4 linked regions of the Saccharomyces cerevisiae S288C genome follow. The protein of the gene in region 2 binds, or shares a complex with, the protein of the main gene of each other region. Each region holds a gene or a part of one and is shown on either strand. Other genes may lie near its edges. A codon is read from its position in the direction of its gene.

Region 1 (6,127 bases), on a different chromosome or scaffold from region 2:
AATAATGTGAATTACCTTGTAGTAAACATAATTTAATTGAATAATCATTACGGAATTTGAACTAATCATTGCACCCTTATTTTTGCACGATATAATATTTTTGATATCTTTCGAGTTCTTCTTGTAAATAGATAAAATATCGATGCATTTATCTAGAAGACTGCTCAAATCTTGATCTTTTGCCTTACCAGTTATGATGAATTCGTTAATTTTAGCCTCTGCAATAGCGGTTAGTTGTGCTATCGTAAGGTACTTCGACCGGTGACGAATACACTCATCCCTTATGGTACTAATAATATTCTGCTCCATAACTTAAGCATGTATCAAATAGTAAAAAAAACTTTGGAAGCGTGCACACTCAGTCTTAAATCTGCCCTATACTACCGAAGATAAATACATGAACTACACGTATCATATAACATCATATCCTTTTTTTTTTTTTTTTTTTTTTTTCTAGGCTTTTACTAATACAAGGGCCTTAGCCATTCGCTAAACGTAATGAACGATATTGAAGCAAATGAAGTAAAACAATGTGGAAAGCAAATAAATAATGGTTATAGTTTTGCACTTATATAGATATCAATAAATGATATGATATGACTAAATACGATAGGACCAGGGGGGAAGGAATATAGATATGTGTATGACAGAAACTACATGCATATACGAGTTTGTACCAAGTGCTTCTTAATAAACACCGTCATCTGGCCTGTTTTGTTCGATTCTAGCGTCATCTCCCTTTTTTTTCAAATCTTCCATTCCAGGTTGCTTATAATCTGGATTCTTGCCGTGTTCCAAAGTGTCCAACCTCTTCTTGTTGCTATCAAACAAACCCTGTTCTTTTTTCTCAGCTTCATCTTGATTGTTCTTTAGGTGAGGAAAGGCGGCCCTAGTGACGATTGAGAAAGACGCCCTTGGCGATTTACGCATCAATTGTCTTGGAGTGCGCAAAAAAGTGGTTCTCAACATTATCAAATATATTCCTGTGTATTATATATGTGATACTGCGGTCTGGCTTCAACTGCTGTTGGAGTATTGTAGGAACAAGTATTCAAGGCCAAAAAAAACTAAGAGCCAACTCAAAGGCCATATCTACCTAATCAAATCTTGGGACCTTTATATACTTATGTGCTTTTACGGTTCCCTTAGATTCTGTACAGGAAGAAGGGGTTGATACAGGAACAAACCCTTTACAGTAAAGGTATCCTTAAAAAAAAAGGAAGGTAGTACGTATATCTCTCCAAGAACTGAAAAGAACCCAATCACCGGAATTAAGCAGTGATATCTCAGTACGGTCAAGGATGTAGGGTAGCACCAGTAGTAATGATTTTAATTATACTTGGCAATTTTAAAATATACAAAAATTATATGTAGTATTTATAATTAGACATTTGTAAAGTGCGTTAAACTAATGATCTAGTTGTCGTATTCTTCCTTAATTAGTTCTCTCTCCATATCGATCCATTTCTGTTCTGCGAAGTTTTTGTCCTTAGCAACATTGGTGTTCTCAGCAATGATCTTGAAACCAACTCTTTCATAAAATGGTATCAATGGCTCGTGAGCAATAAGGACAATTTTGTTACCAATTTCCTGATTACTCAATTTCTGAATGTAGTCAGTTAAAAGTAAAGTAGCCAGGTTTTTTTTCTGGTATTCTGGCTTGATTACTACAGAGTGAATACCAATATGATTACTCGATTCCACTTGTAATTTGCCCATGCTTTCGATAGTAATGTATTCATGAGGTATCTTAGTACCCATAATATGACCAATTAGTGTCTCCTTTTTAACTTCTTTGCCCTCGATCTCTCTGATGAAAAGACCTGAACATAGCTCTGGACAATTGATCAAACGAAAGCTGATAATTTCTTCTGAAGCTCTTTCGTTTGGTGGGAAACCTTGGCTTTCCAAGTTCAAAATCTGCTTTAAATCTTCAATGATTAAGGGTCTAATATACATATGAAGCGGTAGCGTGCTACTTGAGGAGGCCATTTTAACTTTTTATTTAATCGTAATGTATTGGTGTTATTTTTTCTCCGAGAAAAGTATTCTGATGTCCAATTCTTCTTAATCTAGTTTGTTGTAAATTTTTCTTACAAACACTTGCTCCCGCTTCTTGTCCAGTGGGATGTTCGTCGTTCTTCCATTGCTTTTCCATTTTTGCCCGTTCAAAACTATTCTTTTTATGAATTGACAGAAAACCAAAAGCAAGCCGATTTCAGGTTAACCCTTTATTAAAATAAAAAAAAAAAGCATGCATAACACTAATAATATATTATTAAAAAAAAAGCCAATCTATATTATTTAAATTATCCGAAATTACTTTTATTACATTATGACATTCTATAGTCTATGCAAGCGGATCAAAAAACCATTCCATCTTGGTGCCACAAAATACTCTCATGCCAAAAGTGCGAGCTTCGTTTCTTGTATCCACTTTGTCGCCTAACCTTATATGAATCCACTTTTTTAAAACTTTTGGTTGTAAAACAAACCAGTTTATGATGATGAAACTTGTCATTGCATATAAAACACCAACGAAAAGGTCAAATCTATAATGGTGGTCCAGATACATGGTAGCCCACCATTGTAGTATTATATATAGGATAGCCCAGAATTTTGGTATAAACCCATCGTTGACTATTTTAAAAATCCATTTGTTTGTGAAGTTCGTGTCTTCATCATATAAATGGACAAACTGGAGAGGTTTCTTATTGCCATTGCTGTTAATAATGCTGCCGTCGCCGCCGCCGGTGCTTCTTTCATTACTGGATACGGTGAATGAAGATGAAGGGGAGGAGGACCGCTCATTTGAAATATCTACAGGCTCAACGGTACCCAATGGTTCCATCTCTAAGTCGTTAGGGCCAATCGTGGGCGGTATGCTATTGTCACCTTCATCTTCGCTGTCTTCCTCACTCAACTTGAAAGTGGAAGAATCATTATTGTGCATTGTGAAACCTCCAGCATTGGAAAATCTGTGTTTTAAGCTGGTGGACCTTGAAACCAAAAACAAGAAACATTGAAATGCAATGGCGGAGTGTAGTGAAGGAACAGCACCAAACACAATAGGAGACATGTGAAATCCTTTAGTGTTCAAATGAGTACCCAAATGGCTATCTACTCTTATCAAACCGGCAGCAAACCCTTCCTGGGTGTAATTAACATGTTCGGTGTCATCAATACCGTACAGATGAGTAAACCATGGGGAGGCCATTGGAACAAGCAGATGGGTAAGGACCCCCGCTATATTTTGTAATCCTAGGGCAAAACTAAAGCATTTTAAAGTCCCCGGTGGTTGGAAGACGTATAAGTATACAGCTGTTAAAATTGGAGCTGTCAAGTGCAGGATGACATAGGAGAACCAAGCCAGTAAATCCTTGGTCTTAGTAAAGTTTGCATCCGACTGGTAAGCAAAGAAATGATCAATGTTGAGTATAACAAATGTAAACAGGGGCAAGGCAAACGGTATGAAAATTGTCCGAAATCTCTTTTGGATCGGCCGCTGCTTGCGCTTGCAGGGGTAATGAAAAATATTTGCGAACCACTCTAACAGATTATAGTTAACGTGCTTAATGTAATAGATGTAGTACCAAATGGCAAAGGGAATACATATCAGAAATACTAAGAGAAATGCAGAAGATGATATGAATGACCAGAAAAATAGCTTCGAAGTATTATCGGGCAATTGTACAGTAAGTTCATGCCAATAGTCCCCAAAGAGGAATTGATCAGCAAAAAAAGCAAACTTGCTATGAATGTCAGGTCTGAGCCTTATGGGTATCAGACCAGCGCGCTTGAATATAGACAGCCAAATAAACACTGGCGCAAAATTAAGCATGAAGTTGAACGGCAGGCTTATTAGATTACGTTGGTTCAAACTTGCATTATACATGTTTTTGACGAAACTCGCCAAAGAAAATATGACATTCATGCTTTCTTAGACGTTGAAAGACTTTAGGTGATTCTTAGCAGAAATGATAACGTCCAACCGGTGAAATAAAGGAACAGTTAGGGTGGCAATGAAAAAGTAGCGATGCTTATGAAAACACTATGCCTTAGGTTTCCTTTTTTTATTTTTATTTGACAAGTAGCGATTACTCTTCTATTGTTCCTGGTTTTTGATGCTCGAATGTATTATATAAAAATGTTGTGGCCGGAGGTCTGCATTTCTAGGCATTTTTCCTTTTTCTTATTTTTTTTACTTTCCTACTAACTTTGCACTTCGTAAGAGAATTTACACCAGAACTCTCGATTGAGGCGAAGAAGGCGGAGAAAAAAGCCGGTAAAAAAAAAAAGCGGAATCAATCAGCACAATCAGAGGCGTCAAGAAGCGGCGCGGGGATAATGCTTTTTTCCCGTGGCGTTCACATTTTTGTTCCGCGGAAAGCACGTGAGCGTAATCCACTCGGGAAGGGCGCAGCTGCCGTGGCCAACTGAAGTAATCTTTAGCCGTTTATCGCCGCGCAAAACGGCAATTGCACTTGAGACCCCAACGGCGCTGTGCAGCAGGGTATTCTACTACGTGTTAGCTTGCCTTGCATTTCCCCATGCGTCTCGAATAGGAATTATTCAAGATGGATTATTGGCATTTACGAGTAACCAAGGATAACCCCGCTGTGCGGTGAAACCACCCTCTTTTCACGTTTCTTCAAGGCCAGTGCAAACGCGAATAAACATATCTACGCTATATATAGATATGACGTTTCTCAAGCCAACAGAAGTAGATAAAGCAGCCAGGAGGGTAGAGAGTGTTCAAATTATAGCAAGCCTTCTTCTACCTGTTTTTTTTTGATGATTGTTTTGCCGGGTAACAATCGACTTTCGGGCAAATTTTTTTTCCTTTTTTCTCCTAACAGTATATACGGAGTGGAGAACAGACTTCCCATAAAAGCATATTACGTGGGGTCGTAGTAAGATTGCCGTTTATGATACCCTCTATTCAGGGCTCAGAGCGCATCACGATCGGGAGTGTAAATTCAATGTGCATATAAGCAAAACACACAGATTTCCTTTTTTCCCAGAAAAATGAGCAGTGAAATTGCCTACTCGAATACGAACACCAACACTGAAAACGAGAACCGCAATACTGGCGCTGGCGTAGATGTAAATACAAATGCAAATGCAAATGCAAATGCAACTGCAAATGCAACTGCAAATGCAACTGCAAATGCAACTGCAGAGCTGAACCTCCCCACGGTCGATGAGCAAAGACAGTATAAGGTACAACTGCTATTGCATATCAACAGCATATTACTTGCTAGAGTTATTCAGATGAATAATAGTTTACAAAACAATCTACAGAACAATATAAATAATAGCAATAACAATAACATCATCAGGATACAGCAACTTATATCTCAGTTCCTTAAAAGGGTTCATGCCAATCTTCAATGCATATCTCAGATAAACCAAGGAGTGCCCTCAGCGAAACCACTGATCCTCACGCCTCCTCAGCTAGCCAACCAGCAGCAACCTCCACAGGATATTCTTTCTAAACTCTATCTTCTCTTGGCAAGAGTGTTCGAGATATGGTAGAATAACTTTGTTTCTCTTCCCTTTTTTATTTTGTTTTTTTTTTTTTACTTTTGCAATTTTAATTTTGCATTCAGCTACAGGTGTGATTGCATACCCGCAGAGCAAGTACAGGAAGCATAAGAAAAATAGAATACGAAAAGCAGAAAAAGAAAGGCAAATAACAATCACTCAAGTACTACAACTGCATGAATTTATCGTATGTAATGTACCCAACGTAAATAATAATATTAGTATTTTAAAATCTATGACATCAGATGTAGTTATCTTACTGCCAGCCCTATTAATACTACTTTCTTATTATCTTCTTCGAGAGCCACCTTCGTCATCGTCGCAGTAAGCATTGTCATCTTCATCATGCACGTCGGTAACGGAAGCCTAATCTCAATATCTACTAGTTTACTCTACGCCATTTGGAGCGTAGCCCCTTCTCCTTTTGACTCTCTGACTTTTCCCTCCCCTCCTTCTCTTCTGGCCTAGCCTAACCTAGTCTAGCCTCGCTGGACCCCCTCCTTCCAACGGTCAACCCCTTCCTTTCTATTCTCTTCTCGTTCTCTACGTAAGGAACTTGTAAAAGAAAAAATTTGGTGCC
Region 2 (7,254 bases):
GAGATAGAAACAATGCTATATCCTTCTGGAATATTTACAGATAAAGCCTCTTTATTCCCTCAAAATCTTTCCTGGCTGAGACCATTAGCCACGACTTCAATGGCCGCTTCTGTACCAAACAAATTATGGCTTGGTGCGCTTTCTGCAGCTCAAAACAAGGATTATTTGTTGAAGGGAGGGGTTAGAACAAAAAGGCAAAAACTTCCCGCTGAGTACGGTACAGCATTCATTACCGGCCATTCTAATGGCTCAGTTAGGATATACGATGCTTCCCATGGGGATATACAAGATAATGCTAGCTTTGAAGTGAATCTATCAAGAACGTTGAACAAGGCCAAAGAACTAGCAGTTGATAAGATATCTTTTGCCGCAGAGACTCTCGAGTTGGCGGTGTCAATTGAAACAGGAGACGTTGTTTTATTCAAATATGAAGTAAACCAGTTTTACAGTGTTGAGAACAGACCAGAAAGCGGTGACCTGGAGATGAATTTCAGGCGGTTTTCTTTGAATAATACGAATGGTGTTCTCGTCGATGTGAGAGACAGGGCACCTACCGGTGTTAGGCAGGGATTTATGCCATCAACTGCCGTGCATGCCAACAAAGGGAAAACATCTGCAATCAACAACAGTAATATTGGATTTGTTGGAATCGCATATGCTGCCGGAAGCCTTATGTTGATCGATAGAAGAGGTCCTGCAATCATTTACATGGAAAACATTAGAGAAATCTCGGGAGCTCAAAGCGCATGTGTTACCTGCATCGAATTCGTAATTATGGAGTATGGAGACGATGGTTACTCTAGTATATTGATGGTCTGTGGTACTGATATGGGCGAGGTAATCACATACAAAATTCTTCCTGCATCAGGTGGAAAGTTCGATGTGCAACTAATGGATATTACTAATGTTACCAGTAAGGGTCCGATACACAAAATTGATGCATTTTCAAAGGAAACAAAATCTAGCTGCTTGGCAACTATTCCAAAAATGCAGAATTTAAGTAAAGGCCTTTGCATTCCTGGTATTGTATTAATAACTGGATTCGATGATATCAGATTAATAACACTGGGCAAATCTAAAAGTACACATAAAGGTTTCAAATACCCGCTTGCCGCGACAGGTTTATCTTACATCTCAACCGTTGAGAAAAATAATGATAGGAAGAACCTAACCGTAATAATTACATTAGAAATCAATGGCCATCTAAGAGTTTTTACTATTCCAGATTTCAAAGAACAAATGTCTGAACATATTCCATTTCCAATTGCCGCAAAATACATTACAGAATCATCTGTTTTAAGAAATGGTGATATAGCGATTCGAGTGAGTGAATTTCAGGCGTCACTATTTTCTACTGTCAAGGAACAGGATACGCTAGCGCCAGTTTCTGACACACTGTACATCAATGGAATCAGGATTCCCTATAGGCCACAAGTAAATTCATTACAGTGGGCAAGAGGCACTGTATATTGTACTCCCGCTCAATTAAATGAATTATTGGGTGGCGTGAATAGACCTGCATCCAAATACAAAGAGAGCATCATTGCTGAGGGAAGTTTCTCGGAGCGTTCTTCAGACGATAATAATGCGAACCATCCGGAACACCAGTATACCAAGCCCACCCGTAAGGGCAGGAACAGTAGTTACGGGGTACTAAGAAATGTTTCTCGAGCTGTAGAAACTAGATGGGACGCCGTTGAAGATAGATTCAACGACTATGCTACCGCCATGGGAGAAACAATGAACGAGGCTGTTGAGCAGACTGGAAAAGATGTAATGAAAGGTGCCCTTGGTTTTTAAATACATACACTAATTCATACAGGGTAATGAGCAACTTCCTTCTATACTTATTTTTTTTTAGTTCTATATGCTTTATAAATTAATTTGAATCGATTTATTTTTCATTATACATGTCTAGTTTTACGAAGGTTTGTAAATACATGAGCTATCAAGTTTATAATCCTTTAATTAAACGAGTGACCTCATTTAGACCATCTTCATGAATTTGTGATAACTTTTCTTGAACAATAGGAACAATGTCAGCCGCACTAACCAATTCACCATCATCATCGGCAAATTCTTGGCCCAATCTTTTGACACGTAATTTACCTTCTAAGTACTCCTCCTTACCGAGGATTACGGCAATGTGACAACCCGCTTTTTCAGCAGCATCGAATTGCTTCCTAGGATTAGCCTTGGCCTTATAGACATATTCAGCTTCAATGCCAGCATCCCATAATTGCTTAGTAACCTTCATTCTTTCGGGTAAATAACCAGTCCAGTCCTTACCACCACCAAAAGCCATAACGAACACCTGTGTAGCCGTTGGCTTTATAGTTGTAGAGGAATTAATTCTTTGTTTGATCAAAGAAAATATTCTTTCAACACCAAATGAAATACCAACACATGGAATTTGAGTAGATTTTTTGCCGGAAGCTTCAGAGAACATGTTGACCAAATTATCATATCGACCACCGGCTGCAATAGAGCCGACACCAACGAATTCTGACGCGTCTTCTGCAGATTTGGCCTTCTTCTTCAATTCTGAAGCATTCTCTGGTGGAGCAGATGCAGAAGTAACAACTTCATAGATCAAACCTGTATAGTAATCCAAACCTCTTGCAAGAGAAAGATCAAAAGAGATGAATGAGTCAATGTCAAATGCTTCGGTATACTTCATCAAAGTAGCAATATCATCCAAACCTTGTTTAGCCTTTTCGTTTGAAGTAATGTTGGCATCTGCGGATAGAACAGCGTGAATTTCCTTCAAAGAACCATTTAATTTAACATACTCACCGATTTTATCAGCAGTTTCTTCGGATTGACCTTTTTCTTCGGTCATTTCCTTCTTGACTGCTTCCCATGGAGATTTGTCCAACTTATCGACAGCAGAAGAGATTTTCCTCACATCCTCATCTTTAACACCAGCGATTTGGAAGATCCCATCAAGAATCTTCCTGTGATTCAATTTGATTTTGAAATCTTTGATTCCCAAACTGGTCAAACCTTCCACTAAAATGGACAAACATTCGGAATCAGGAACCATAGATTCGAATGTGCCTGCAACGTCAAAATCACACTGGTAAAATTCTCTCATACGACCCTTAGTCATGGCTGGTTGGTCTCTTCTGTAGACTTTTGCAATGTGATACCTCTTGATACTCTGAATATTGTTCATGGCAACGTACCTGGCAAAAGGAACGGTCAAATCGTAACGTAAAGAACATAATTCACCACCCTGGTCCTCCAAGTTGTAGATCAGTTTGGAGTCCTCACCATACTTGCCTGCTAAAATTTCTCTTAACTCGAAAACAGGTGTGTCGATAGTGACACCACCATGCTTCTTGAATAGGCCAGATAAAGTGCTAAAAATGGCTTCTCTGATAACCATATCACTATCAGCCCAATCCTTCGTACCCTTAGGTGTTTTCAAAGACACTTGTAGTTTACCTTTCTTTGGAGCCTTTGAAGCTTTTAGAGCATTAGCAGCATTAGCAGTAGGAGCAGAAGTAGCAGCAGCGGTAGCGGATGACATCCTGATTATCGAAGACGACTTTATAGATGTGACTACTTTATTTAGTGATCTACTAAGCATTAAGCAAGAGACGAGCAGAAAGGAACTATTCTAAAGTAACACATTGGGCCGTAAGACTCATTTAAAAGCCCGGTCGATCAAGGCCATAAGTCATCTTCGAGCTGGTTAGAATTGAAGAAAAAAAAAAACTTGATAAAAAATTTCAAACAAAAAAATTATCGCCTTACACGGAAACGAATAGATTTACTTATTACACAAGAGAGAACAGTGATTATAAGGAAAGAAAGAGATATATACAATATTTCCATCAAAGACGTACGCATCACGGCGTTCATATAAGTATATCATCGGCAAGTCTTCACACCTTTCAATACTTAGACTTGTTCACCTTGAGTGATCCTGAAAAAAAAAAATGATGGCCGCGTTTCGAAGAAAATAAAGAAAAAATAAAGCAAACCTCAAACAAGAAAACAAAGCGGAAAATGGTAAACAAGAGAGATAGAACAGAGTAGTAGGCTATTAGCAAAAGCGCGAGAATTACTACATTATAAAGGATCTGTCAAGAATGACATTGAATAGGAAGTGCGTAGTGATACATAACGGATCGCACAGAACGGTGGCTGGATTTAGTAACGTTGAATTGCCACAATGCATTATACCCTCTAGCTATATTAAAAGAACAGATGAGGGGGGGGAAGCTGAGTTTATATTCGGAACCTACAATATGATAGACGCTGCGGCAGAAAAACGCAATGGTGACGAGGTGTATACATTGGTAGATAGCCAAGGGTTACCGTACAATTGGGACGCATTGGAGATGCAGTGGAGATATCTGTACGACACCCAATTGAAAGTTTCACCCGAGGAACTGCCACTGGTGATTACGATGCCTGCCACCAATGGTAAACCGGACATGGCCATATTAGAGCGCTACTATGAGCTGGCGTTCGACAAATTAAATGTACCAGTATTCCAGATTGTAATCGAGCCATTGGCAATTGCCCTATCCATGGGCAAGAGTTCTGCATTCGTGATTGATATCGGCGCGTCAGGCTGTAACGTTACTCCCATCATTGACGGTATTGTGGTGAAGAATGCTGTAGTGAGATCTAAATTTGGCGGTGATTTCTTGGATTTTCAAGTACACGAAAGGTTGGCTCCACTGATTAAAGAAGAGAACGACATGGAAAACATGGCCGACGAGCAAAAAAGGTCCACCGACGTTTGGTACGAAGCAAGCACGTGGATTCAGCAATTCAAGTCTACTATGTTGCAAGTAAGCGAAAAGGACTTGTTTGAGTTGGAAAGGTATTACAAAGAGCAAGCAGATATATACGCTAAGCAACAGGAGCAGTTAAAACAAATGGATCAGCAACTTCAGTACACGGCGTTAACGGGAAGCCCCAACAATCCGTTGGTTCAAAAGAAAAATTTTCTATTCAAGCCATTAAACAAGACTTTAACCTTGGACCTTAAGGAGTGCTACCAATTCGCAGAGTATCTCTTCAAACCTCAACTGATATCAGACAAATTCTCACCAGAGGACGGACTGGGACCGCTAATGGCAAAATCAGTCAAGAAGGCCGGCGCTAGTATAAATTCAATGAAGGCCAATACCTCCACCAACCCAAACGGATTGGGTACAAGCCATATAAACACCAATGTTGGCGATAATAACAGTACTGCCAGCAGCAGCAACATATCACCAGAACAAGTATACTCGCTACTGTTGACGAACGTCATCATCACAGGATCTACCTCTCTGATCGAAGGTATGGAGCAACGCATAATAAAGGAGCTGTCAATCAGGTTCCCGCAATACAAATTGACAACTTTTGCCAACCAAGTCATGATGGACCGTAAAATCCAGGGATGGCTGGGCGCCCTTACAATGGCCAATCTGCCATCATGGAGCTTGGGAAAATGGTACTCTAAGGAAGATTACGAAACGCTGAAAAGAGACAGAAAGCAGTCGCAGGCTACGAACGCAACAAACTAGTGGTAAGGCGCAAATATCCAAAAGGGATTGTAGGCGGCTAGAAGGAGATGAGATCTCGACCCATTTTTCTCAGCGCCGGTAGTAGCTATCAGTAAGGAGTAAGCGGGTTTCCTTCAAGATTCAGTCCACCCCCTACTTTGAGTGAGGGACATATAAACAAACGCGATAACTCGATGAACCCATTCTAATATAAAAAAACTGTATAAATAGTTATATAGAGATGAACTCTAAGCTAGTGAGGCCCACTGTAAACAGCCATTTTTCAATATGCGCTACCCGGCGGCGGAATATCGTCCCAGCTACATGATAGCCGCTTTTTTGTCTCTCTTTGTCCCACCTGTTCAAAGACATTTGGTAATCAGTTTGTCAGGACAATAGTAAACAAAAGTGCGCAAGTACACATGCGCTGCACGTGCGGCCGGAACAATGGCGCTTTTGGCTCGTCCGGATGATGCGAAAGGGAAAATAAAATCTCGCAATCGGAAAAACACTCGCGAGAACCAAAACAAGGATCCCCTAAACCCAGTACCCGCATACGGTTCTCCCGGGGAAAAGGGGGCGGAGGCCGGACGATGAGTGTTACCCGGATAGGACTACGGATCGCTTCGCACGTTTGTTTACAATTGATGACTGCGCTCCCCTAATAGATAAGATAAGCTCGCGAAGGCAGAAAAAAAAAAGTCTTCTACAGCAGTTGGTCCGCACAGACGATGCCAGACGGTGTTTTATCGAAAATTTTTTTCGCATCATAGTGCCATTTGTGGTCATTATTATTCCCCAAATATGCGAAAATAGTACACTATTTTTGGCAGGAGAGTAGGCTGATATGCCGCATTGATGTCCTGTGTAGCGAAACACAAACAAAAAAAGAAAAAGTAGGATGAAAAAAAGAAAAGTAATATGAAAAAAGAGTGAAAAATTAATTCATTTGTTAGTGTAAGCGGTCAGGTGTAAGTAGTAGGCTTGATAATGAATTAAAGATGACTCCGACGCATATTGTTTGCCATGTTTTTATTTTAGTTTGTAGATTTCTTTTTTTGTAATATATAAGGGAGTGATTCTATATATCGAATTCTCAGGCTTGGTTGGTTCGTAGGTTGTTCTGTCTTTGTTTTCGTTAGGTAAGAACATCACACAAAGATAACTATAGAATCACATACATATTTGTGAGAAATTAACTTCATTTCATTTATAGAAGAAGTTCAACCGAAACAAAAATTAAACATAATATAATATAATATAATCAAAAATGGCTGAAGCAAGCATCGAAAAGACTCAAATTTTACAAAAATATCTAGAACTGGACCAAAGAGGTAGAATAATTGCCGAATACGTTTGGATCGATGGTACTGGTAACTTACGTTCCAAAGGTAGAACTTTGAAGAAGAGAATCACATCCATTGACCAATTGCCAGAATGGAACTTCGACGGTTCTTCTACCAACCAAGCGCCAGGCCACGACTCTGACATCTATTTGAAACCCGTTGCTTACTACCCAGATCCCTTCAGGAGAGGTGACAACATTGTTGTCTTGGCCGCATGTTACAACAATGACGGTACTCCAAACAAGTTCAACCACAGACACGAAGCTGCCAAGCTATTTGCTGCTCATAAGGATGAAGAAATCTGGTTTGGTCTAGAACAAGAATACACTCTATTTGACATGTATGACGATGTTTACGGATGGCCAAAGGGTGGGTACCCAGCTCCACAAGGTCCT
Region 3 (7,768 bases), on a different chromosome or scaffold from region 2:
TGGCCACGTAGATTTATTTTGTAAATAAGTATCGCGACAGCTTCTATTTTCTTGGTTTAATACGCCTGTACTAATTTCCATTTTTGAGTTTAGGCGGTGCTTTCGTAAAAATGATATGATTATTCCGCTCATAAATGGTAGTCATGGTAAGGAAGATAAAAAAAGCGCAGTTCCACTGTCAGGCTTCGTTTATTTAACAATATAGATACATCATAAAAGTTTTTGGTAATGTTCTCTGGTTTTACTTCGTACTTCTGATCAGAAGTCTGTTATATCATGGTTCGGTACCAATTTTTTTTATACACCATTGTGATGATGTTAAAACTAAACGTATAAATTGGTCAATTATGTTGCTAGTAATGCAGCTCAAGCAAATTTATTTTATTGGCCTACATAAAGAAAACTAACTCTACAACTTTTACGGTATAAATATGCAATGTGATTTAAAAAATCACTGAAGTGTGTCAGAATATGAGAAACTTTAAGTGAAGCGTCATATTTTTGTGCCCTCATATCAAAAAAATGCTTTAAAAGCAGTCAACCAATGTGCCAAAAATTTTCAAAATTCAGGAACTTGTTGTTCGGCAGACTTTTATTCTGCCTGCTAAAGATCTGCCGACCTACCATAGCGGTCATGTTAATTGTAACGGCTATATCTACTGGGTAGACTGACAGTTGATTTCCTTCGAACGCCAACTCTCGCATTGCCATTTTTAGAATCATCGTTAAATCTTTTATCTCTTTTCGGTAAAAAACTAGATATGACTGATTTGGCCCCACTACCTGCGGCTTCGTTGAGCGTTGCAGGTGGGTCTATTTTTTTGATCCAATAGCTAGCTAAAAACCAGCTTATGACAGCTAGTAAAAGCAGTACCCCCAAAATTCCATACCACCACGCAATACTTCCATTTCTTCCTGGAACTTTTACATTCATACCGAACAGACCAGTAATAACATTTAATGGAACTAACATTGTACCTAACATAGTAACTTTACCCAACATTTCTGTAACTTTATTATTAGAGTTAAATGATTCCACTTGTAATTGGGCCAGGTAGTTTGCATGTGATCTAGAAAAAATCTTTTCGTACGCCAATAAATTTTGAAACATCGTCAACAAATGATCCTGAATATCACCTAAGTATAAAGCAATATCTCCCCTTGGTTGTGATGTTGTTTGCATATAGCTATTTGATAAGCTTATTTGGTTATTACTATTATTCTGGTTCACATTCTCTTGTTCCGCTTGTAAGTTCACCATGTTAGTTTGAGATTTAAGCACTGGCCCAATACCATTAGTTTCATCTTGACATCTTTTGGCGAACATTTTGATAACATCTGCTTTACCGCTCAAGAGTCTCATCAGCGTCATTGTCTTACGCCTACTTTCACCAATCCTTTGTAACATGGCTGCAAAATCCATATCACGGGTCATAAACACTGAATCATCAATCGAATCAGCTTCATACTCGATGGATTGAATAACCGGAGCAAAACTATCTGTGATATCATCGATTAAAGCATAACATAACCAATCTGAATTGACACTGACATAGTCACGTAATTGTCTTACACGTCTTCTTACATTGGCACAGTGTGATATTGGGTCAAAATGAAAAGTCAAGACACCTGACCTAAAAACAACGATGTAAACATTTATAGGTTCAAGATAATTCTCCGATTCTTTATCATTTTCAAATGTATGGAAACAGACAAAGTAATAGGATTTGAAAAGCTCTACCTTTTCACGCGTTTCTTGCATCCTGATATCTTCCGCGGTCAAAGGATGGATTCCAAATGTTTTTGCTATGCAACGCATTTCATCATCAGTTGGACAACTGCAATCCAACCACCACGTTGGATCGCCTCCCTTGAATAACTCATAAAACGTCTGTCCCTCGGATATCAAAGAAGGGATATCACTAGCATGCACAGTTTCATCAGATTCAGAGCGGAAGAACGAAAATCTACTAGGAATTTGATATTCTGTATTTTGGAGGGTATAATACGCCCGGCTATAACTCGAATCATTTCCTTCTTTTTCACCTTCAATCTTATTTCTACCAAATGTTACGTCAGGGTGTAGATCAGGTTTATCATCTTCCCTCACAGATTCATTGTTTTCAGATACGTACATCTCATTAACGCTGCAATTTTTTTCAAGAGTCCGTGAAATTTCAGGTGTATATTTCAGAGCTGCTGAGGATCCTGAAGTGGAAGCAGAGTTAGTAAATCCAGTATCTTGGTCGGTATGATTGTATGTTCGTTCACTGTGCCTTTGATGGTTCGCCAAAGACAGATTTCTTTCAGCATTTGAAATCTGGGCATATTCTTCCAACTCATCAAAATCAACACCATTAACTCTTGTATGTAATAGTCGAAACATTGGAAAACAAACGTCTTCTTCTGTTTCTTGAGAATCCCTGGATGCTTGCGATATCTCACTATGGAAAGATACCCTGCTATCCATACGTAACGGTTTAATTCTTCGTGTGTCATTTCCCATATCGGACTTTTGCGATGCAGTTCTTGTCAACAACGTTGTAGGATTGACTGATGAATGTGTCGATATTGTAGAATAGGTTCTTCTCTTAAGTTTCGCCTGTTTGGGATGCGTACCATGCTCTGATTCAGCCGATGTTTCAAAGATTGCGCTAACTAGCGAAGCCTTACGAGCGCTTGTAAAAGTTCTTGCCGAGGAGGAGGCTTCTAAGTTGCATCTGTTACTTGACGTACCGGCAGGTAACGCCGTATCATGGCCTCTCTCTAAAGCCGCATTCTTTGGCAAAGAGGGAGCGATGCTCTCTACATGAATCTGCTTTTGGTGAGTTTCAGACTTTGCTAGCCTGGATGGCCTCGCATTAGAACTTAAAAGCGCGAAAGATCTTAACTGGTAACGTTTCACTGCTTCTGCTTCTGCTTCACCTTCAAAATCCATGCGGCCACTTGTGGATATATTCGTTTTCTCCACATAGCCTCCATTTTCCACTCCACTATTCTCCCCGTTAGAGGAACTAAATTTGTGTCTAGAATCTTTCGTTTCGTCCACTTTCAATGCAAGCGCTTCGTGACGTATTGGTTGTGCATCAGAATACTGCCTATAGTTCTCTAATTTTGGGTACTTGCCTGTCTTCATGGAAGCCGCCGTATTGTCAACGGATTTTGACCTTGGTAAATCTGACGATGAATCAAATGAAGTGGATAAGGACGACATTACGAAGTTTTTTCACGTTTTCTCATAAAAATTCAGTACTTCTATAAAGGTGATTAAAATATATTCCTGTCGATTTTTTTATCCAACTGACAGTACATTTCCATGTAAGTAATTGTTTAGCAATAGTAGTCTCTACCGTCCTTGCTGAACATTGAATAGAGGAAATAAACGCTGTTGATTTTACCTTTCCACTTTTATAATATAAACCTCTACGTTAAAATATCATATGCTCGAGGAAAACCTGATTTCTCTGGAAGCAGCCACTTTCGTGAACAGCCAAACCAAATGCTGCATTTTTCGAAGAAAATTTTTATCTCAAGGAGTCGCTTTTGTAACTTATAGCCGGTCAGGCAGTAAAAACGTACCTGAAAGAATAGTTTGATAGTAGGATATGGACAACGGTTAGTTTTGTCTGTACTTCTTGTATACAGGGCCTCTGTCAAATGAATGTGCGTATAAATTAATGGAGGTCTTGCATAGTTTGTTGAAACTTGGAAGAACTGTCAACCTTCACATATATGATATCCACGGTCTAAGCACGAAGGGCACTTCTTGTTTCTCACATTTAGGCAACTACGATGTGGGAAGTACAGCTCAGTTACGGAATCTAGCACGTAGGAAGAATAAGCGATAAGTGTTCCCTTCAACACATCCATAAAGGAGTTTAGCAGCTGATATATTTGTCGTATCTAAAAAAATTTTCAGAGTATTATGACCTCGTCAAGTACAACGGAAATATATCCTGACATGGAAAGATTAGCCGTTCAGAAAGTGGCCCTGTGCATTAAATATAGTTGTAGTTTCAGCCGTCTATATTTTTTTTTCGAACCATCACTTTTCCCTTTCTGGACTTTTCTCAATGTAAAAACAAGAAAAACATGGAATGTATAATACTATAAATAAAAAAAGTAGGAAGAAGAACCAAAACAAAGGGCGTTTTAAAGAGAGACGAATATGCTTGGCGAAGATGAAGGGAATACCGTTCTTGAAAAGGGAAATAATCCTTCTGTAAAACAAGGAGAGGTTGGAGCTGTATTTATAGTACCCAAAATACTTATCAGAGAACATGAAAGAGTGATACTTAAGCAAATTCTGCAAATCCTGGATCAAGATGAATTGGTTCAACCTCCCTTAGACAAATTTCCCTACAAAAAATTAGAATTACCGAAATATATAGATGAACTTAAGACGAGAGACGCTACTAATACATCCTACAAGATGATACAATTGGATGCTTATGGTGAGAAAAAAGTGGGTTCGAACGGTGAATTATTTGGCGGTAGACATTATTTGTTCAACACCTTCACATTCACGGCTCATATGGGTGTTCTTCTGGTACTTTTACAAGATGTCATTAAAGTGTTATACCAAAGCAACGCAACGCATGACGAGGACGAGTTTATTGTCCAGCATGATCAAATTCTGGTAATGGAAACTTCTGAGGAACAAACAAAATTTTTGGCCAAAAATGGTGTCATTCCTGAAGAATCCAAAGGATCTTTTAAGTATATAACTGCCAGGTCAGCCTTTGTTGAATTCGGTGCTTCTGTTATTGCCGGTGGTCAACGCATCGTTGATGATTATTGGGAATCTTTAGCTAAAAAGCAAAATTTGTCGTCTCACCAAAGGGTTTTCAAATTATCAACAAATTTAATTTCTAAAATCTCACTTTTACGCCCCTCCTTCCAAAATAACAGGATTAGCAATGCCAATGAAATTAGTGCGAACACTAATAATACCTGTACGATTTCTACTTCAAAATTCGAATCACAGTATCCAATAGTCACGGAACAACCGTCAGCGGAGATTAGAGAAGCCTATATTGAAAACTTTGCCAAAGGTGAGCACATTTCGGCAATTGTTCCTGGTCAAAGCATTAGTGGAACATTGGAACTCAGTGCACAATTTAGAGTACCGCGTTATCACAGCAAAAACTCATTTCAACAAGCTCTGCAAATGAAGGCAATGGACATACCAATCGGAAGACATGAAGAATTACTTGCGCAATATGAAAGTCAAGCTCCTGATGGTTCCGCTTCAATTTCACTTCCTAACCATATTCCATCTGTCAATCCTAGCAATAAACCAATCAAACGAATGCTAAGTAGCATTCTTGATATTAACGTTTCCTCATCAAAAAACAAGAAGTCTGAGGAGAACGAAATGATAAAACCCATGAACAAGGGCCAACACAAAAATAATACATCGTTAAACATAAACGGCTGGAAATTTGAATCTTTGCCATTAAAATCCGCCGAGAATTCAGGTAAACAGCAATATTATAGAGGATTGCCGTTATATGAAAAAAACACGCTGCTAGAAAGGTTGAAACAGCTGACACCGAACGAAATTAAAGAACTAGAGCATTTACACGATGCCGTTTTTGTTAATACCGGTTTGCAGAACGTTAGAAAAGTTAGGACAAAAAAATGGAAAAAGTACTGGCAGTACAAGGCAGGTATTCCTATCGGTTTGAAACGGTCTCAATTGGATGAATTCAAAAATAAATATTTGAAAGATGTGTTGGCGCAAACGAGTGTTACTACAAATTTTAACGAAATAACGAATACGGATGAAACAATAACAACAAAGAGGGTACCGAACCCAAACTTCCTAGGAAATTGTAACATTAAGGATTTTAAACCTCCATACATTTATTCTCATGTGAACAAAGTACCACAAAATGTCGCTGGGGATAAAACGGCTGTTAAGCTGGACACTGAAGTAAAGAACACAAATGCTAATCCAGTGGTGGCGACGGATCCGGTCGCCGCTAAACCGGACAACCTGGCTAACTTCAGCAACGAAGTAGCTATGAATAATTGAAAGAAGTAAAACATAATGTAGGGAACACTCCAATAAGAAATAAACCATTGTTGAAGTAGTAATATAAACTATCGTTCGTTATTTTATAAAATATGTATTGTTACATATATATACATATATAGGGAATGCATGTGCACAATTGGTTTGAGTGGAAGGAATAATCCAAAATCATAGCAGTTTGGTCTTTATGATCTCTTGTCTGATTCTGAATGTGTAATATGCCATAACCAACATAATGAAAATTAATGGAAGTAACCAAATCATTAGTTTTCTGGCAATTTCGTCGACCTGAGGACCATCTTGTCCATGACGTTTGGTAGCTTCCCTATACTTTTCTTGTTCAACCAGGACTTTCTCCAATTTCTGATTGATTGATAAGAAGTCTTTGAAATTTTCTTTATCCTCAGCGATTGCATCATCGGTGGACGTTCCCTTTTCATTATTAGCTGGTGGCTTAGAAGAGAGCTGTTTAGTTATCGTAGTCATGAATGATAATAGCTCTTGTTGGACCTTAATGACATCATTTAGCTTTGTTTCTAAAGCATTGATATCGTTCGCAAGAATTTTACCTTCAACTCTATCCAGTTTCTTATACAATTCATAGTTTGTAATTTTGTCTTTGTCAGCGTCAAATGCTGTTTTTTCAATCAATTTTTCTTTGCCGGTTTGTTGGTCAATGTATTTGGTGATCAGTTTTGGCTGACCCATTGCATTCACATTAGGGATCAAAGAATCTTCAATCACGCCATTAAAAAATTGCATTTTGAATATTTCAAAAGACTCTGCATTATTATTCACTGCTCCATTTTGAGCGGTGACACCAATACGGTAAGACCCAGAGGGAAAGCGAACCTTCCTAGTTTGGAAACAGACTTTATTGTCCACCTGAACTTTTAATAAGTTGTCGTCTTCCAAATCATAAGTTACTCTGATCGTGGAAGGAACGGAGGAATCCTGATAACCCATCAAACAAGATGCAAAACTCTGATCATAGATTTTCGTCTTATCTACAGGCTTTTGACCATCATTTAGTTGACCACGAAGTGTTGGGCCCAATGGACCATTGTTATCCACTAATAATTGTAAACCATCATAGTTCACTGGCCCATTGTATAACTGCTTATCGCGTGGTACGTTAGAATCTTGAACAAACCAAAATGATATGCCACCGTCGGTTTGGCCAGAATAACCAACACTCCTAAATGTCCACTCCATAGTAAAAGAATCCTTCAAATCGAATCCTTGCTTCAACCAAAGTGAACCCTTGGAATTTTGCTTAGAAGTCAATACAATTCTCCCTTCCTCTAGACTAGCTTGTTCTCCAGTTTGCCAGTTATTGGGCACTTTACGTGCATTAATGAGATCAGGGAGCGAGTAGTCTGAGCTTAATTTGGATGCATCTGAAGTGTCACCCAATGGATGAGCTTCTAGCAATCCAGCCCATGTCGCTAAGACGGTAAAAACACTCAACAGTACTGTACTTTTCATAGTAATTAACATCATCATAAAATACAAATTCCCTGATGCTAACTATTTGTTAATTTTATTGGTATAATTATAATTATTCAATACCAATTAAGGCTTCTATTAAAAGATCAAAAACATTCTTAAGAGTTCATACTGTTTCTCTACTCGTGTATAGTGATACCAAGACGTAATGACAATAATAGATGGAAATTGAAATATTATGAAACAGGAATAATATTCCGTTGAATTGTAATAGATGTT
Region 4 (9,846 bases), on a different chromosome or scaffold from region 2:
AAAGTCACCGAATTGAGCCTCCCACATGACTAGATAATCTGGGGAGGTTAGCGAATAACCATATTCGAAACCCATTACACCGTACTCAGATAACGAGGAATTTGCAATGGTGAAGTCTGCCTTTTCATTATTCAGAGTGCTTAGCGGTGTGTAAATGGCTTCAGATTGTTGGTCATGCAAGACTGCATGACGTTGAGAAAATGTACCTCTTTCTACATCTTCACCGGAAACCCTAACGTTCTGACCATCCAAAACCAATGTACCGAACGCTAATGCTTCACCGGTGGCCCAATCGATGCCTTCACCTGTCTCAATAGATTTTCCTCTATTTTTCAAAATTCTCTTTAGATTTTTGTGCACTTCAAAACCTTCTGGCCACGAAGAGAGTACCTTACCTAGTTCTTTCAAAGTACTCTCTGGAACATTAGTTGGTTCATGTGGTAATATCTCAGTGGCCAATTCCTTTGGGGATTTGAATCCTTCCCAGGCAGCAGTTAACCATTCTCTTTGAGATGGGACGTAATCCTTTGCCTTTTCGAAAGCATCTTCAAATAAGTTCCATACCCATTTCTTGTGCTCATCAATATCTTTTTTAGAAAATGTGCCTTCACTTATCAATTTTTCCGTATAGACGTCAATGACAGATTTTTGTTTTGCAATTTTTTTGTACATTAATGGTTGAGTAAACGATGGCTGATCGGTTTCATTATGTCCATGTTTTCTCCAACCAACGACATCAATTATGGCATCTGTGTGGAACTTATGTCTCCATTCTGCGGCTAAATTGAAAATAAAGGTCACAGCTTCCACGTCATTAGCGTTAACATGGAAAATTGGGGCATCAATGGCCTTAGCCAAATCGGAAGGATATGGTGTGGACCTTGCAAATCTTGGATCCGTAGTGAATCCGATCTGGTTGTTTGTAATAACATGAATAGTACCACCAGTAGAGTATTCTGGTAGGGTCAAGAAACCCATGGTTTCATAAACAACACCCTGCCCAGCAAAAGCAGCATCACCATGTAATAACACACCTAAGGCCTTTGTTTTTTCCTTCAAATCGTTCTTGGCATGCAATAAAGCTCTAGTTCTACCAAGAACAACTGGATCTTGGGATTCTAAATGAGAAGGATTTGCCACCAGCGATAAATTGACGTACTTACCAGACGTAGTTGGTCTTTGGTAGTTCATACCCAAATGGTACTTGACATCACCCGATCCTTCAATATCATCGCGAGCGCTCGAACCCTTAAATTCAGAAAAAATAGATTCATTTGGTTTACGGACCACATTGGATAAAACGTTCAATCTACCACGGTGAGCCATACCCAAAACAATATCTTCTACACCCAATTCAACAGAACGATCAACCAAAGTTTTAATACCTGGAACAACACTTTCCAAACCTTCTAAACCGAACCTCTTATCATTTGGAAATTTTGTAGATAAGAATGACTCAAAAGAAGTGGCCCATGTTAATCTATCTAAGATTTGTCTCTTTTGGTCCACTGTATATTGGTAAGGTTCAGGAATCTCAATTCTCTCTCTTAACCAATCACACTTTTGCTTAGATGGAATATGTGTGTATTGTACCCCATAAGAGGAACAATATAACTTTTCTAGATGATCCACAATCTCTTTCAGAGACATTTTAGATTTCCCGTCCCTTGCAAACCTTGGCAGGATACCAGGTCCTAGGTTGATTTCTTTATCAAGATCGTGTTTGCTAAAGCCGTAGTAGTCTAGAGTCAATTCCGGAGGAACAGGGTTATTTTTATTACTACCAAATGAGATCCCTAAAGGATCTATATGGGCTTTTAAATGACCTCTAACTTGGTAAGCTCTACATAGCAATTGCACTTTTAGATGAATGGAGACGTTCTCATCTACTGAACCAGTCATTGCGGTCCCTAAGGGAGCTGCTTCGGTACCCTGGGGAAAGTTACTGATACTGGGAGGAGCCTGAAAAGCCTTTGTAGCTGGAATCTTTGGGTTAGACATATTCTTGAAATATGCGTCCCATGAAACATGGACTGAAGATGGGTCTTTTTGCCAAGCTTGGTACATTTCATCGATATAGGTGGCATTTGATGTCGATAGAAAATTATCTGTACCAGTGGTGGCTAACCCTCTTCCGACAATTTTGACAGTAGATGCATTTTTAAGTAAAGATGTTTTTAATAGTCCTCTTGAACTATACCGGCAGGTTTGCGAAGACACGAACCTTAGCATAACGGTAAAATTTAGTATTTTCTAAAAACTGCTTTCTTTCTCTTTTGTTGTTTCTTTCAAACGAAACTTTAATTTGGGGAAATTAGGAAGAAGTATGATGCTGAACGAGAATCGCTTCCTTCTCTCTTCCTATCTATATTCAGCTGCTGCGACTATGTGACAGAAACAAAATTGAGGGCGAAAAACAAACAAGATATGATCTTATTAAATAACACACGGGTTTGTTAAAGTATAAATAGTACACACCCAATGAATCTAAACCGTTATCGTAAATCGGACTTACATGTAGGTCTTGACTCCCGCAGTCCCTTTGCCAATCATTTATGTGTAATGCCTCTTTCTTATTTGCAGAGGCCCCTTCCTTAGCCCCGGAATCGCAAACGGTCGAAGCTAACTGGTCCATCGCCGCCGGGTAATTATTTTGCGGCACTAATAAGCCCAGAGAATAAGCCAAAGGATATTAGTTACTCAAAGAATTATATTCGCTCTGTCGATCTTATTGTTACAGTGGTATATATTTTATAAACATATGTAGAGGTAGAAAAAAAGGCTAGAAAGAGTATTAGAGGGGAAAGGGATATAGTCGTAAAAAAAAAAAACATGTGGTGATGAAAACGTTACGAAGAGTGTTCCTTGAACCATTCATCAGTAAACTCATTTAACTTGTCAGCATCAACGTAAACCCAGGATCCCTCTTCATTATAGAATCTAGCATTTTCAAACATCGTTTGTAAGGCTTGCCTTACCTCCTCCAAAGTTTTGTAAGTGCCATTCTTGCAGTTTTTCAATATAATATCAATGGCCATGGGTTTTTCAATTACTTTAAAATAGTCCGGATAGTCGCGTTTCGAAGGAAGCTTTTCAAAAATGGACGTCCTTGGATGGGAGTCTACCTCATCTAACTGTTCGCGCATTTCTTCCACCAATTTTTCCACCGTGGGAAAAATCCCAAGCGACTTGGATTTAGTTTTAGTTTTTTTGGCTGCAGTCTTCTTCGCGGGCGATTTACTCTCTGGCTTTTCTTCTGCTCGCTTACCATCATTATTCTCCAACACAGTTGTTTTGTTTAGTTTGATCTTGACGGTCAGTTTCGGTTTCTTTTTCTTGGATTCTGAACCATTTATAATTTCAACGGAGCTACTTTTTACTTCCTCTTCCACCTTAGCGCCCCCGTTTTCTTGAGATGTACTCTCTTCTTGAGTATTCTCTTTGTCTTCTGCCGTAACAATGCTAATGGTCCTTTTCTTTCTACTACTCCGGCGTTTTGACCTGGAAGCTGTAGTCTCTTTATCAGCATTAGTTTCCTCATCCACAGCTGCAGTGAAGCTATTGTTCTCAATCAATGAAGTTTCGGATGCTTCAGGCGTGTTTTCCAGGGTTTCTATTTCATTCTCTTTTGTACCATTTTGACGTAATCTCCTTCTTTCACGTGCTTCACGTCTTTTTTTAATGGCATCTTCTAAAGACATATTATCATCTTCTACAGCCTCCAAAAATTGTTCTTCAGTTAGACCGTCATCATAGTAAACTCTTTTCTTTTGTCTAATCCTTCCCAATGGTTCAGAATCCTCTTTCTTGAAATGTTCTTCAATGTCTTCTCTGAATACTTTGGGTAGCTCGTCTAATTGAATCAATCTAGGAGGAGGGACTCTCAGGCCTTGCGCTTTAGCATCTGCTCTTTCTTGGTTCATTCTCTCCTTATCAATTTTATCAAATAGTATTTTTTCATCAGCGCTTCTGGCCAAAGTATCGTTTAACTCATCGTCATCTAATTCTGCTTTGTCATCATCATCCCTGTTCGTTTCACTTTCGATCAATCTTCTCAAAAAAGCTTCTTGCTCTTCTGCAGTTGATTTGTTATCAAACTTACCTGCCTGGATAACCTTGCCGTCAATGTCCAATTTCTGCATAGCTCTTTCCAAAATAACTTCCTCTACGGAATCAGTGGTAATTAATCTTAAAATTCTAACCTCATTCTTTTGTCCAATTCTGTGAGCTCTATCTTGGGCCTGTAAATCTTGGTGTGGATTCCAATCTGTATCAAAGATGATCACCGTATCTGCAGTTTGTAAATTCAAACCCAAACCACCGGCTCTAGTTGACAAAAGGAAACAGAAATAATCTGAATCTGGAGCATTAAATGCATTCAGCATTTCTGTTCTTTCTTCAGTCTTAGTGCTACCATCTAATCTCATATACTTCAAATCTTTCATTCTTAGGAAGTCTTCCATAATATCCATAACTTGAGTCATTTGGAAAAACATTAGCACTCTGTGGCCTGAGGCTTTGAATTTCGGTAGCACTCTATCCAGTAATTCAAACTTGCCCGCTACTCTGAAAAGTAAATCACTATTACCTCTTGAGGGGTTTACAACACCTTCCACTTCATCAAATACGAATGGATGGTTGCAGATTTTTCTTAATTGCATAATCTTATTGTTCAAACCTTTAATACCACCCTTTGTAGCCCCCTCAGTCCCTGCACCAACAAATAGCGCGTTATGCTTTAGCATTTGCTGATATAACTGTTGTTGCAAACCAGACAGTTTACATTTGATAACTTTTTCCACTTTATCAGGCAAATCCTTTTCCACTTCCTTTTTCAAACGACGCAATAAAAATGGCCTTAACACCTTATGTAATCTTCTAATAATTAACAGAGTTTCTTCTTCCGTTAATTCTAGTTTCTCTTGGGTACCGGTGTTGGCAAATGGAGTATTAAACCAATCTTCAAAAGTCTTCGCAGAATTGAAAATTTTAGGCAAAACAAAGTTCAACAGTGCCCATAATTCTGGTAGATTGTTCTGCAAAGGAGTACCCGTTAAAATCAATCTGTTTCTTGTACGATAATAATGAGAAATTGTGAATGATAACTTCGATTGAGCATTTTTCATTCTATGACCTTCGTCAATGATCATATGAGCCCAATCATGTTTTGATAAAAGAGATTTATCTTTAATAATATACTCATATGTTGTCAATAAGACGTCAAAATTTCCAACCCTTATTTGATGCTGTAAAGAGTGTCTTTGATTTGGTGTACCTTTGTATATAATAGTGTTTAAGCTCGGAGCCCATTTTTCAAATTCTAAAGTCCAATTGGTTATTGTGGATAAAGGTACAATGACTAGGAAAGGGCCGATGTCTTTCTTAACTTCATAAAGATATGTTATTAGAGAAATAGATTGGATGGTTTTACCTAAACCCATCTCATCTGCTAGAATACCGTTCAAATGATTATTGTACAACGACACCATCCATTCTAAACCTCGTAATTGATACTCTTTTAAAGTGCCGCCAACAAGAATAGAAGGTTGTTTATCAATTTTTTCTTTGATCCTATGAGCGACTTCATAATAGTCAGTCTTTTCTCTTTCTTCATCTGTAATTGGTTGGACTTCCTCACCATGAAGAATTTTTGCTTCGTTTTGTTGTGCTCTAACAGCCTCCGACAAAGAATCCAAAAAGGAATTAGTCTGCCTCAATAACTGTGTAATTCTAGTATCCTTAGTTTGATCTAAAAGCTTTAAATAAGCCTCCTCATCGTTAGACTTCAAAGCAGCTAAACGTTGCTTAGCAGTTCTTTCTATTCTTTTCTGTTCATCTTTCTCCATTTGATTGTGTAATGAAGCGCCTAATCTACCGAACTGAAAGCAACGTTCTTGACGAGACCATTGCTCGGACTGCCTTTCTTTGATGAAATCAATGATGCTGTTTATTTTTTGTAAATGTAAATTACGTTCCTTTTTTCTTTTTTCCAATAGTTGTTGCCTTTCTAATTCTTCTGCCAAACGAACGGTTTGTGGGACAATAACTTTGCTTCTAATTTGAACAGATCTTTGTGCAGCTGCTGTGAAAGGAGAATCACGTAGATATGGAATATTGTGGTGTGCCTGGCTGGCAACATTGTTGATTAACTTTTGCCTAATCGATTTTTGTTTAGTTAGTAGCTTTAAACTTTTCAATTCCACAAGAGCTTTGATTTTGAAAGTATCCATTCTGGACGATAAATCATCTTTTGTAATAAACTCTAAACAATCATCTAGTGAGTATGTACCCAGATTGGCAGGTAATCTTTCCAGCTCGTTAATTCTGTTGGATATACGTGCAGAAATCCTTATTTCGGTATCTGGATCGCCCAATGCAGTCTTCGTAGCGTTAGAAAATTTTGATTCTAAACCCAAACTTTTGGCCTTCGCATTGAAATCTGCTGATATTTTTATTGGTTTCTTTTCAGAATAGTCTACTTCGATCGCCGTAGTGTTATCGTTCTTGGTGTCTGGTAAGTCTAAGAAGTAGTCAGGGACATCTGTATCTTTCTCCAGTAACTGTAAGGCAACCAAGTGTTTATTCAATAAATCCTCATCGTACTGAAATCCTTTATCTATACTCTTTCTCAAGGTATCCAACTTTGTTTCGTAGATATCCTGATCACGTGATATATTCCTAAAAGTGTCTTCTATTGCCTTGATCTCCAACTTGTTTTCCTTTGGATGGTTTTGAATAGCCCTATAGCGGTAGAGTAGCTGCTCCAACTGTGCACTACTCCTCGGCTTTGGAATAGTGATTTCAGGTTGTTCCTCGGACCCCAGCTTTCCATTTGTTTCAGAGGCTGCAGCAACCGCAGCCAATGCGGCAACTGTTGTAGGTGTATTATTCATCACCGTGCTCATCAACTCAGATTGTTCCTGAAGCATTCGCGCTTGCTCTAAACTGTGCTGCCTCTTTGTGTTGTTATTTCCACCAAATTAGCCGCTGATTGCCTTTGTTTTTCTCTATACTCTTTTTCCTCTTAAGTTTCGTTTTCGTTATTGATAAACTTTTTCTTTTCTCAGTGCCAAATTGGTGTCTTCTTTTTTTGCCACGGGGCGGGTACTAGATAGTCACGTGAATGTATACACGTGACCCTAATGCTCTTTGAAAAATTTTGCGATGAGCTTTAACTAAGGAATATGGAAATATAGCTGGCAACTGTGGAAATATTGTTTTGTGGAAAAGTTGTTTAGAATACGAACAACTTAAGGAGGGAGCTAGCTAGGCCAAAATGTCATCTTCGCTGAGCCAAACATCTAAATACCAGGCCACCTCGGTTGTTAATGGACTGCTATCAAACCTTTTGCCTGGCGTTCCCAAAATCAGAGCTAATAATGGCAAAACAAGTGTAAACAATGGGTCAAAAGCTCAGTTAATCGACAGGAACTTGAAAAAGAGAGTACAGTTACAAAACAGAGACGTTCACAAAATTAAAAAAAAATGCAAACTGGTCAAAAAAAAAAAAGTTAAGAAACATAAATTAGATAAAGAGCAACTTGAACAACTGGCAAAACACCAGGTTTTGAAAAAACATCAACATGAGGGCACATTAACGGACCATGAGAGGAAGTATTTGAATAAGTTAATCAAAAGGAATTCTCAAAATTTGAGGTCGTGGGATTTAGAAGAGGAAGTACGAGATGAGCTTGAAGACATTCAGCAATCCATCTTGAAGGATACAGTTTCCACTGCGAACACAGACAGGAGTAAAAGAAGAAGGTTCAAAAGAAAACAATTCAAGGAAGATATCAAAGAGAGCGATTTTGTTAAAGATCATAGATATCCTGGTCTGACACCGGGTTTGGCACCTGTAGGACTAAGCGACGAGGAAGACTCTAGTGAAGAAGATTAAACGTAATAAAAATAAATGCTATTTTGCTGTACTATACATAAAAGAATCATATTTACTTAGTATACTCGCTAAGATTTTCACGTGCTCATCAATGTGAACAAATTATTAAATACAAGCGTTTACTCGAACGGGATTTGGCCTAATTCATAATAAACCTGTCTTGTGTCAACGCATTGCTTTCTTATTATTCTTTTTTTGTCAGATAAAACTGGTATTAAAGCGCTTAGAACATCGTCCTGATAGCTCAAACAATAGTTTAGAGGTACTACAGTCGTAATCATTTCTAGAAGCTGTAAGGCTATTAACCTGACACTGACACTATTATATTTGTGCGGAAGCGAAAGAGATAGTAATAATGGAACTATTGTGCTTACGTGTTCAGTAATTAAAGTGTGATGTTTATCCGTAGTGTCCTTCAGAGTTTCTAAAGCGGATACCCTTACTTCAGGATCAGGCATATCCAAAGCCTGCAATAAAAGCGGGAATAAATCGTTGATAAAAGGACCAACCGATTGGCTTGGAGTATGCTTCAACACTAAGGATAATGCAGTTAAATAATTGCATTTAATGGTCATGTCCACGGTATTTTTATAGTTGCTGACTAGTGTTTGAAAAATGTCACCGAAGAATTTTTGTTTGTACAAGATTTTAACGTTATTATTCCAACTGATACCTTTAAATTTCTTCAAAGAACTGATATCCATGACAAAAACTTCGAATAGCTTCGATACAAGTGAGCCAATCTCTTCATTAGACAGTAAATCAATAAACTTTTTTGCAATTTCTGATGACTCTAATGAGTTTTGCATTATCAGCCCTTTAGTCAACCAAACCATCACTTCAAGATTAATTACTGATAAGTCTTTCCAATCGAATAATCCTATCACATCTTTTTCAGAGACGAATTTATTTGATAAGACCAACAGCAATTCCAGGTATCCTAATTTTTCAGTCTCCGTCATTCTTGGAGCATGTTTTTTGAGTAGTTGAACCGTTCCGAAAAGCACTGTAAATTTTTGGGGGAATTGGCAGTTTTTATTTAGTGCGGATAATATTTTAGCATATGAAATAGCCAATACATTCGGTGTGTCTAAGATTCTTATCTTACCTTCAGAAATGAAAAGCTCGTTATATCTGTCTAGTTCTTCTTGGTGTGCAGCCTGTGGAATTTTCAAATTGGTGAAGAAAAGAACGTTAGATAGAAGTGTCAAATTGTAATTGTCACTTACAATGGCCGATTCCTGAGTAATTATCTCAAATAATTTTGGCTCAATGGCATTCTTGAGTGCAAGAGCATCTTCTTCATTTAGCACGTTCTCATTTTGATTATTATTATTAAAAAGAGAATATATGGTTGAAATAAGTAGAAAGCAATATTCTCTGGATTTCGAAATTTTAGCTACCCTATTCAATTTTGTCGCTAAAAATGTAATGCTTTCTTTGACCAAAATATGTCTCGAAGTGGTGAAATCAAGAATAATCTTCAAAATTGTTTCAATGTGAATATTTTCCTCATCATTTACTCGAATTTTTTCCTCGAAGCAATCAGGTAACAAATCCAATAATTTCTTCAATGATATTTCAAAAACTAAATCCTCATATATCTCACTGATTGTCTTTAACCCTTCCAAACAAGCATAGTAAATGTTTTTGTTGTTATCCGTTAATATTTCTTCCGTGAAGTATTGAATAATTAGTGAAACTTCCTCTGGGGTTAAAAAGCCCTTCATTTTAATCATTTTTGTGAATTGAATCACAGATAGAGTCCTTATGGTAACCTCTGCCTTGGAGCTTCTTGTCAAGGCCATGCTCAAAATCATTATGATCTCGTCTTTGTATTCAGCCATTTTATTATTTGGCACCGGTGTTCCCAACGATTCTTTAGATGTTCTTCCAAACAAATCAATGTACGAGTCAACAAAAAAAGAAAAATTCATAATCAGCAGCTT

The links.
Region 1: ARP7 (region 2) and SNF11 share a complex: the UniProt entries of both Saccharomyces cerevisiae proteins name them as parts of the SWI/SNF global transcription activator complex.
Region 3: ARP7 (region 2) and SWP82 share a complex: the UniProt entries of both Saccharomyces cerevisiae proteins name them as parts of the SWI/SNF global transcription activator complex.
Region 4: the proteins of ARP7 (region 2) and STH1 are in contact, whole or in part, in a cryo-EM structure (PDB 6VZG), measured with the Saccharomyces cerevisiae proteins. Residues at the interface, in NP_015359.1 of Saccharomyces cerevisiae: Glu25 (codon at 4,173), Leu26 (codon at 4,176), Leu147 (codon at 4,539), Ser148 (codon at 4,542), Gly150 (codon at 4,548), Lys151 (codon at 4,551), Ser152 (codon at 4,554), Asp171 (codon at 4,611), Gly172 (codon at 4,614), Ile173 (codon at 4,617), Ile344 (codon at 5,130), Thr442 (codon at 5,424), Asn445 (codon at 5,433), Leu446 (codon at 5,436), Pro447 (codon at 5,439), Ser448 (codon at 5,442), Leu451 (codon at 5,451); in NP_012140.1 of Saccharomyces cerevisiae: Arg320 (codon at 5,972), His323 (codon at 5,963), Leu324 (codon at 5,960), Lys326 (codon at 5,954), Ile327 (codon at 5,951), Ser329 (codon at 5,945), Ile330 (codon at 5,942), Ile331 (codon at 5,939), Phe333 (codon at 5,933), Ile334 (codon at 5,930), Arg337 (codon at 5,921), Ser343 (codon at 5,903), Gln345 (codon at 5,897).

The regions. Positions count from the first base shown.
Region 1 is NC_001136.10:587,411-593,537, forward strand, and holds SNF11 (Snf11p), read left to right. Parts: upstream 1-5,028; coding exon 5,029-5,538; downstream 5,539-6,127. Other genes in the region: ubiquitin-specific protease DOA4, read right to left, coding at 1-309; FMP16 (Fmp16p), read right to left, coding at 688-969; PAA1 (polyamine acetyltransferase), read right to left, coding at 1,417-1,992; IPT1 (inositolphosphotransferase), read right to left, coding at 2,351-3,934. UniProt on the Saccharomyces cerevisiae protein: Involved in transcriptional activation. Component of the SWI/SNF complex, an ATP-dependent chromatin remodeling complex, which is required for the positive and negative regulation of gene expression of a large number of genes.
Region 2 is NC_001148.4:635,425-642,678, forward strand, and holds ARP7 (Arp7p), read left to right. Parts: upstream 1-4,100; coding exon 4,101-5,534; downstream 5,535-7,254. Other genes in the region: Rab GTPase-binding protein SRO7, read left to right, coding at 1-1,800; HTS1 (histidine--tRNA ligase), read right to left, coding at 1,955-3,595; GLN1 (glutamate--ammonia ligase), read left to right, coding at 6,784-7,254. UniProt on the Saccharomyces cerevisiae protein: Component of the chromatin structure remodeling complex (RSC), which is involved in transcription regulation and nucleosome positioning. RSC is responsible for the transfer of a histone octamer from a nucleosome core particle to naked DNA.
Region 3 is NC_001138.5:32,635-40,402, forward strand, and holds SWP82 (Swp82p), read left to right. Parts: upstream 1-4,168; coding exon 4,169-6,040; downstream 6,041-7,768. Other genes in the region: putative Mg(2+) transporter ALR2, read right to left, coding at 638-3,214; EMP47 (Emp47p), read right to left, coding at 6,209-7,546. UniProt on the Saccharomyces cerevisiae protein: Involved in transcriptional activation. Component of the SWI/SNF complex, an ATP-dependent chromatin remodeling complex, which is required for the positive and negative regulation of gene expression of a large number of genes.
Region 4 is NC_001141.2:115,075-124,920, reverse strand, and holds STH1 (RSC chromatin remodeling complex ATPase subunit STH1), read right to left. Parts: upstream 6,930-9,846; coding exon 2,850-6,929; downstream 1-2,849. Other genes in the region: alpha-ketoglutarate dehydrogenase KGD1, read right to left, coding at 1-2,232; RRT14 (Rrt14p), read left to right, coding at 7,277-7,897; MET18 (Met18p), read right to left, coding at 8,017-9,846. UniProt on the Saccharomyces cerevisiae protein: Catalytic component of the chromatin structure-remodeling complex (RSC), which is involved in transcription regulation and nucleosome positioning. RSC is responsible for the transfer of a histone octamer from a nucleosome core particle to naked DNA.